2 linked regions of the Drosophila melanogaster genome follow. The protein of the gene in region 2 interacts with the protein of the main gene of each other region in a pairwise test. Each region holds a gene or a part of one and is shown on either strand. Other genes may lie near its edges. The genes, in order: Polr1C and Polr1D.

Evidence for each region.
Region 1: the proteins of Polr1D (region 2) and Polr1C interact in a two-hybrid assay, tested with the Drosophila melanogaster proteins (2 studies listed by BioGRID).

The regions. Positions count from the first base shown.
Region 1 is NT_033779.5:4,967,074-4,970,761, reverse strand, and holds Polr1C (RNA polymerase I and III subunit C), read right to left. Parts: upstream 1,759-3,688; 5' UTR 1,678-1,758; coding exon 1,538-1,677; intron 1,478-1,537; coding exon 616-1,477; 3' UTR 551-615; downstream 1-550. Other genes in the region: l(2)05714 (lethal (2) 05714), read left to right, coding at 1-550; Scox (synthesis of cytochrome c oxidase), read left to right, coding at 1,937-2,330, 2,394-2,755; eIF3i (eukaryotic translation initiation factor 3 subunit i), read left to right, coding at 3,069-3,071, 3,249-3,688.
Region 2 is NT_033779.5:19,132,523-19,137,419, reverse strand, and holds Polr1D (RNA polymerase I and III subunit D), read left to right. Parts: upstream 1-2,186; 5' UTR 2,187-2,439; coding exon 2,440-2,490; intron 2,491-3,143; exon of another isoform or gene 3,144-3,598; coding exon 3,599-3,646; intron 3,647-3,936; exon of another isoform or gene 3,937-3,993; coding exon of another isoform or gene 3,994-4,011; intron 4,012-4,068; coding exon 4,069-4,368; 3' UTR 4,369-4,395; downstream 4,396-4,897. Other genes in the region: DCTN6-p27 (dynactin 6, p27 subunit), read right to left, coding at 4,396-4,897. UniProt on the Drosophila melanogaster protein: DNA-dependent RNA polymerase catalyzes the transcription of DNA into RNA using the four ribonucleoside triphosphates as substrates.

The sequences.
Region 1 (3,688 bases), about 14 Mb from region 2:
CAAAGATGAGCATGACCCAGACTTGGAGGCCTCCATAATTTCACCCAAAGCAAAGCCCAAAGCCAAATCAAAGACCTATCCAAGGCAAAAGCCAAGGAGCAAAATGCAGCCAAAGATCAAGAACGACACGAAGGTGGAGAGCATGGAGGAGGAGACGGAGGAGGACGAAATCGCCTCGAACGACTCAATCCTGGATGATTTACTCAGAACAGATCAGCCCTATCAAGAGCAAGAATTTGAGGTTGAGAACGAGTTCCTCGAAGTACAACAGAATGAAACAGATCTCCAGGACCAAGAGGTGGTCTACGAGGAAGAGATGATACAGCTCAAGCCGGAAGATACGGAGATTAATAACGAATACCAAGTCGACGCGATGACGGAAGACACCATTATTAGTGAATTTGACTTGTTTGGCAAGAGTTTGGCTCTGCAGCTGAACAACATGGACCTGGAGGACGCACTAATGTGCCAGGAGCGTCTGCAGGTGGTCCTAACGGAATTTCGCCTGAAGGTGCTCAAGCGCAAGAGAGAGCAAGCACGATCTTCGTAGGCTTACAATTTATATCAAGCTGTCTTATGTACATAATATAATTTCTTTAACAACTAAATAAATAACTATTCTGCCTCAATTTCGTCAATTAGCGCCCGGCACTTTCTCTTCAATACCTTGACCGCCTCCAGGAAGATGACATCGGGCTTCAGTGCGCCGACTGATTCCACGGAGAAAATGTAGTGATCTCGGATACGGGCCAAAGTCACAGCGTCGTTTAGCTGGGGATAGCGATACACATTTCGGCTGCACGTGTCGTAGCGTGCATCCTTTACATAGGCAGTTTCATTCTCGTCAATGCCAATTACTCCTGGTGAGAAACAGTTCTGTAATAGGTACGCATCCTTACCGGTCACCTCGCGGTTCAGCTTAATCATGGGCAGCAGTCGGTAGGTGGCCGTGGCCACCGGCGAGAATTTCGCGTGATCCCGTCCAAGTCCCTTAACCGCCACCAGGCGCAGATCCAACTCGTGACCCGGACGCAATTGGGCAATCAGTATGTCATCGTGAATGCAGTTCACAGCACTCTCGCTGTATATCTGCGCCTGCTTTCCTTTGGGCAGCCACTTCAGATGACCCGAGTACACTTTGTGGTTTTTGTAAATGTCATCGAAGTTGGACTGATCTTTTCCAGCATCCCGTCGCCGCGAGCACTTCACCTTCAGCTCAAATTCAAGCGTATCCTGCTCGGTCCCCGCCTCAGTGCTTTCCTCGGTGCGGTATGCGAATAGACGGGGATCAGCCCGCAACGGAAGTAGACCCATTCGATGGGCAAGTACCTCGTCCTGGATGATCGAGGTGTTGTTGTATATGTACACCTTTTCGATGGCCATGCTGGGCACATCGCTGAGCATCAGGCGACGGAAGGCATTTGCAATGGCGGGATACACGCCAATCAGATCGAACTCCAGGCCGTCTTCGTCGTTTCTAGAAGTGAACACCAATTGTTAATCGACTCGTAAGATTCTAATTTCTATTGAGATTTACCTGACGATTTTGATGTGCAGCTTTTCCTTGAAAGCCTGAACGGAAAATACATCGTCCGCCAGTCCATAGTCCTGCGGATCCTGCTTCACCCGATACTCCTCCATGTACAGAAGCGGCTCCTTGCGATTTTTGCTTGCCATTTGCCCCGGTGTTTTTATTAAATAATTTAACAAAATTGAACCGCACGTGTTGGAATCAATAAGACCGCCTTCTAATACCAAAATATACCAAACTAACTAACAAACTAACTAATATACTAAATAAATATACTTTATGTACTAAATAAATGCTGTTTCGCCGTGACTGGCTGAATAGGAAGAAGCAGCAGGACACCGGCGATATTTTTATTTCTCCAGAAGATTTACGTAAAGCCTTCAAATTTCTGAAACCGGGCGTAAGATGTCCCGCTCCCTGCAACGCTTAGTGGGCAGCTGTCGTCGCTGGGCACAACAGCCCGCAATTCGTCATTATGCCGCTCCCGCAGATTCCACTAAAGGCAAGGGTCCGATCTCTTGGAGAAGTCTGGCCGTCATTGGAGCCCTTGGAGCCGGAGGAGTGGGCTTCATGCTGTACGTGAAGAGCGAGAAGGATGAGGCGAGAATGAAGGAGCGTCAGCGGCAATTGGGAAAAGCAGCCATCGGCGGCAGTTGGGAATTAGTTGATTCGCAGGGAGCTGTTCGCAAATCGGAGGACTTCTTAGGCAAGTGGCTGCTCATCTATTTTGGCTTCACCCACTGCCCGGATATTTGTCCCGATGAGCTAGAGAAGATGGCCGCCGTCGTCGATGAAGTTGGTAAGTAGAGCCTGACTATTTCTTCCAAACCCAAAAAAAACCATGTTTCTCAAACCTTCACAGAAAAGTCCCCGCAAACGCCAGCAGTGCAGCCCATCTTTATCACCGTTGACCCAGAACGTGACTCCAAAGAGGTGGTGGCCAAATACGTAAAAGAGTTCTCCCCCAAACTGCTGGGACTCACGGGAACCGTCGAACAAATCCGCAAAGTGTGCAAGGCCTTCAGGGTTTATTTCAGCGCTGGACCGCGGGACGAGGACAACGATTATATTGTGGATCACACCATCATCATGTACCTGGTCAATCCCGATGGCGAGTTTGTCGATTACTACGGCCAAAATCGGGACAAGGACCAGTGTGTGGCATCCATTTTGGTGAACATAGCCAAGTGGAATTCAATGAACAAAAAGGGATGGTTCAGCTAGGCTGGCTAAGCTAGGCAAATGTTGTTTCGTTGTATTTACTTAATGTATGGCATAAAATATGGTTTTTACTTGATGTATATCAAGTTTTAAATCCAAATTTTCGTTTATATTGGCTATACCTTAAGTTCTAGATTGTAAAAATTTCTGGTTGTTCAAAATAAACTTGATTAACGGTATTTTTTAGATCCCCCTGGTATATCGAAGTGAGATTTTGACTAGGCCACGGTCACACTGCTCTTTTGGCGTGTAGTGCTGCGTGGATGTTGTTGCAAAAATATTCGTTTTCTCGCAACAAATAACAATATAATACAAAATGGTGCGTGCCTGGTCAATGACTACACAGTTTGCATTATTCCGGATGGGTTTCTTTAGAATTTACCCGAAATTACAACTATTTGCAAAGTGTGAAAGTCGTGTGAAATTCCGGACCAAACATAACCTTAAAAGCGGCCTAAATTGTTGCTAAAAATTCGTATTATTCTGTCTTTTATAGCGTCCGTTGATGCTTCAGGGCCACGAGCGTTCCATAACGCAAATCAAGTACAACCGCGAGGGCGACCTGCTCTTCTCCTGCTCCAAGGATCAGAAGCCCAATGTGTGGTACTCGCTGAACGGAGAACGTTTGGGCACCTACGATGGTCACCAGGGTGCGGTCTGGTGCCTGGATGTGGACTGGGAGAGCCGTAAGCTCATCACCGGCGCCGGTGATATGACCGCTAAGATCTGGGACGTCGAGTACGGCACCGTTATCGCCTCCATTCCGACCAAGTCATCGGTGCGCACCAGCAACTTCAGCTTCTCGGGCAACCAGGCAGCCTACTCAACGGACAAAGCGATGGGACAGAGCTGTGAACTGTTCCTCATCGATGTCCGCAACGCCGATTCCTCGTTGTCGGAGCAGGAGCCCACACTCCGCATCCCGATGACCGAGTC
Region 2 (4,897 bases):
GAGATTTAGGTAACTTAGTTGAAGGATTCGCTATTCTAAGCCAACATCATAGACTTTAGGCTTATAATCCATGTAGCTTTAATAATCAATAATTAGAACTATTTTTCACACAATATGTGGAATATACAATACATATGTACATACATGTATCATGTATATGTACATACATATGACAACTAAATGATCTACGGTTTGTTATTATATCCTCCTAAAATATGGCTAAATTTCGATACCCGACACAACGAAGACCAAAAACAAGGAAACCCGAACAAAGGCGAAACAAGAGAAAAATGCATGTGAGGTTTTTGTTTGTTTTATGTCTCTCTGCCGGCGTCGCTGCTGCTGCGTCTGGGCAGCGATCACGCACACATAGAGAAGCACACAGAAGAAGGAGGGAGAGAGGAGGGGACTCAGCGCAGCTTCCTTTTGACTGGCTCTTCTTACAGAGGAAAAAATGATGTGGCTGTAAGTATCACTTGTTCCTATAGATCTTAAATGTGCAACCAAGTGATTGTGTGTTATTTAGTATTGGCATTGTTGTAAAATTTATTACATCACAAATTATCAAATAAATTTATTAATGCACTGATTAACAGTAATGGTACTAAACTCGAACCTATTAATCAAATATTGCACTTTTCGGCTTAAAAATTTGTCCTGTTGTGTAGTTACTTTACTTGGTTTTTATGTTGATTTTGGGAATTCTAAAAATGCTTGCAGCTTCATCCTTCTGCGTCTCTGTCTCCTTCTCTTCTCCTCGATTCCCCCCACCCCCTATTCGTGGCCCGCATCGAATGCAGCAGATGACAGGTTTTCGCTCTCCTCCGCCCCCTGCTTTGCTGTGCTCTCCGGCTTTATGGCGCTCCCCACCTCCTTCGTGACTCGCTGCACAGGATGTTGGAATATCACGTCGTCGTGTCCGTGTTCCCGTCTGTTCCTTGTTCTCGTGCTCTTCGTCTTCGTCTTGTGCCATTGCCACTTCACCTTTTTTGTCTGCATTCGAGCTAAAGGGGCTCCCCTTTAGCCCCTTCTTCACCTCAGCTACTCCTTCCACTTCCTTTCGCTCCAAAACTGTCTGTGTATTTTATTTTATTTCGTTTCGTTTGGCTTTCGATGTCTGCAGCATCCTTGGAACTTTCTGGCACAGTGGGCCCAACAAAAATATTGCATGCACCATTGATAAATATAGATAAATGATCGAAAGAACACACCATTGCTATGTTTACTGACAGAATTATTTTCAAAAACTCGTTAAGCATTTATTAATTTACCAATAGAATCGGTAAAAACCTTAGTACCATTATACATAGAATTTTTGTTTTAAAATTCAATTTATAACCTGTCCTTGTCAAGTCAGCACACTGTGTCTACATCGTGGACAGGTATTTTGTACCTCAAGTGGATTATTTGCAATATTCATGGCACAAGGTGGAATATACACCACCCTTGGGAGGACTTAAAATTTCGGGCTCCCCCTCTTTTATAATTTATTTTCACGTGCGCAGCTATACACAAAAAATACTTTTGTATTTTGAATTAATATAATTTTAAAATGGTCTACCGTACTGCATCCTTTTTCTATGCGTTTATTACTTTCTACTAGTTTTCGTTTATTATACGTTGAAAAGATATATTACACACGAGGTGGTGAATTGTTTACGAATCAGCTTCGCGAGTAAATGCTAGGGAAGTTATTTTCTCTATGTACAGGCCATAGATCGCTGTTGCTATGTACATATGTATGTATGAATGTATATATTAGGTTGTGTTTACATACATATTTACATGGGCCCTCTGGATCGTATTCCCAGAACCATTTCGCACTTCTCTTTTTCGTATTCTCCCTTTTTGCCACGATCGTGACGGTTATATGCAGTTCCTTTGTTGTAACCACTACAAAGCCAAAATAATTGCAAACTCAAAAGAAACCCATAAAAGCAAGAATAGAGTTAGCCCAGGAGAGAGAGCAGCCACTTTTTTCGGCCAGGAGAGAGCAGCTGCCTCGCTCTCACTCACACACGAGCCACAAAAACGCCGGCTCTCAATACATACATATATACATACTTAAACTGCAGGCCATGTAAAAACAAAAACAACAAGGCAAAAGGGCGCCCAGCATAATGGGGGAAACGAAATGGAAGAGGAACGCAGCCTAGACTAAATTGCAACAACTGCAAATTGGGGGGAACGCATGGCGCCAAACGAAACGTGAGACAGACTCGCGCGCACTGCCATACATACACGAAAAGTGATTATTACAACACAAGCGCTGCGGCGCGTGGGCGCGAGGAGGGGGAACGCATGAGATAACGGAACATGCTGCCGCATTAGTCACCACCAAAGCACAACAGATGTGTGTACATGTGTGTGTGTCAGCTACCACCGAACAAATGAGTGCAAAGGAGTTAGCAGGATGCCGAGAAGGAAGCGGAGAGAGGAATGGCAAGGGGCAGGGGAGAAGAGCATAGCAACCAGTGGAAACAAAATACAGTGAGTATTGGCTAAGAGCTATTGGGTATCTTTGCAATAAAGTGTTGCATACCCTAGGGAGAAAAATATTTATAAAAATCTTATTGGATTAAAAAACCATACATATTAACGAAATTAAATAAAAAATATTTTTAAAATTTTACTGGAAACTACGTAAGATCATATTTGATTGTATTCAACCTTTTGGTTATATGCATATAAATCGTAAAGTACATGTTAAGAAACCGAATACTGTTATTCTCGTAATTGGTAATTGAAGATGCAGACTGCGAACGTGAATGCAAAGTGCCAATTAGGAAATTTAACAATTTGGAAATAAAAGTCTACATTATTGGCAATAACTAACGAAAAGCAGAACAGGAGGCACAGTAACGAACAAGATAAAGCTTTAGTTGAGCCTCTGAACTGGTATTTTTTAGCCATCACTTCCGCCTTCGCGGGCAACAGCGTCGACGGCACGGCGGCAGAGGCAGCTGCCTGTTTGCAGCTGTGTGCGTGCACAAAAATAAAAGGGCGCATGAATTTGCATAATTTTCGGAACCAGATGGGGGGCGTGGCCGTCAACAAAATTGAAATGACAACTCGAGCTTTTCAATACCGCTTATTTATGTATGCGATGTTATTAATAAGCACATGGTGGGCATTAAACAAACCTGTATTGCAGTCAATTCCTGATGGAAACGGCGAAAAAGCATGTAAAATGAATTGCCGATTCGTCGTTGTATGCGTTTTTCCCGAGTGTCGGTGTTTTTGGAGCAACTTCACGTTGAATGCATTGCGCAAATAATTATGTTTGCCGTTGCAGTTTTTTTGTTTTTGTTTTCTTCGCTCCGCTTCGCCTCTCTGCTTCTTTCCTTGCCGCCTTTTCTGCTGATGCTTTCAAACAAACCAACACTCACACACGTATGCAGAAGGCGGCTTGCAATTATGCTAATGCGGCTGTTTGCGACACTTTTTCTTCTTTTTTTTGGCCGACACCGCACAAAACTGATTTCGCAGTTGGCCCAATAAAATTGGCCACAGAACAAAGCGAATTAAGAAGCAACACACACAATTCAATGCTCTGTCTGAAAACCGCGTCCGTGTCAGAACGCGTCAAGAACTGGAGCTGGTGGAGACATCGGCGCGCTATCGATACATCGATGACGTTACCACGGTATTTATGCATTTACTTAGAAGTAACTCATTTGATTTTCAAGAATTAAAGTCAATGTTGGTATGACACTTGGCACAAGCAAACAGTAGGAATGTTTCAGAAGACATACTCTTTTATACATACACAACTTAAATTTAACAGTTTTTTCGGGAAGATATGGCTAAGTTTTACTTAAATTCAAAATGGGATAGGCATCTCTAGTTTTTAGCTACATTGCATTCCAATTGGAATAAGCCGTCCTTAGCTACTTAAATCGATATGTTTCGATGACTCTAACATCGATTGCCGAGGCATGTGCCCTGCACGTTTTTTGTAAACAAACGAACGAGTATTTGAACAAACTGAAAATGGGAGCATTGGCAGAGGTAGACAATGCATTAAATATGCAATGTGAGTAATTAATTCTTAAATACTTTCCCCAGCTGGCTGGTGATGAGAAAAACGGCGAAGGATCTCGTACTTTTGTGTTCACCAACGAGGGCCACACGCTGGGAAATGCGCTGAAAACGATCATAGCCCGCTACCCGGAGGTGGATTTCTGTGGCTACACGATTCCGCATCCCACGGAGCAGAAGCTGCACTTCCGCATTCAATCCCGTCGAGACAGAGCCATAGATATACTTAAACGGGGACTGGAGGATCTGGAGGGTCTGTGTGATCATACAATCGTTACGTTCGAAAAGGAGATGGCCGAGTTTAATGCAATGAAAGTGGAAAATTAGATATATATGTATAAAGAATACTTAAAACTAAACCACGCTGCGCGCCTTCTTGGGATCGTAGTTGGGCTTGCGTAGATGATGATAGTTTGGCAGGACCTTGCGCAGGAAGTCGATCTGCAGGGTCTGCGATCCCTGCTTGTCGATGGCCTCGCGCTGCAGGCCCTGCTCTCCATAAACAATCGTGTTTTCGGGCAGGCGTTGACTACCATGGATCTTTATTCCAGCTCCCACCACACAACCGCTGGAAACAGTGACACCGGGGCCCACATAGCACTTGCTCTCGAAGACGTTCTTATCGCCAATCTTGGCCGCTTCCACTTGGCAGCCGACTTCAAAGACATTGTGAGTGCCAATGCTCAGGATATTGTTGACATCCCAAACGGCGCCCGGCTCCAAGCGGTGAGCTACGGTGGCATATTCCTCTATGATGCAATTCTCCCCAATTATTATGGGACCTGCGTCGGCGATAACGGTGGCACTCGGATGAACCACACAGCCCGACGAGAAGGTGATGTCACCGCGCAGGCTG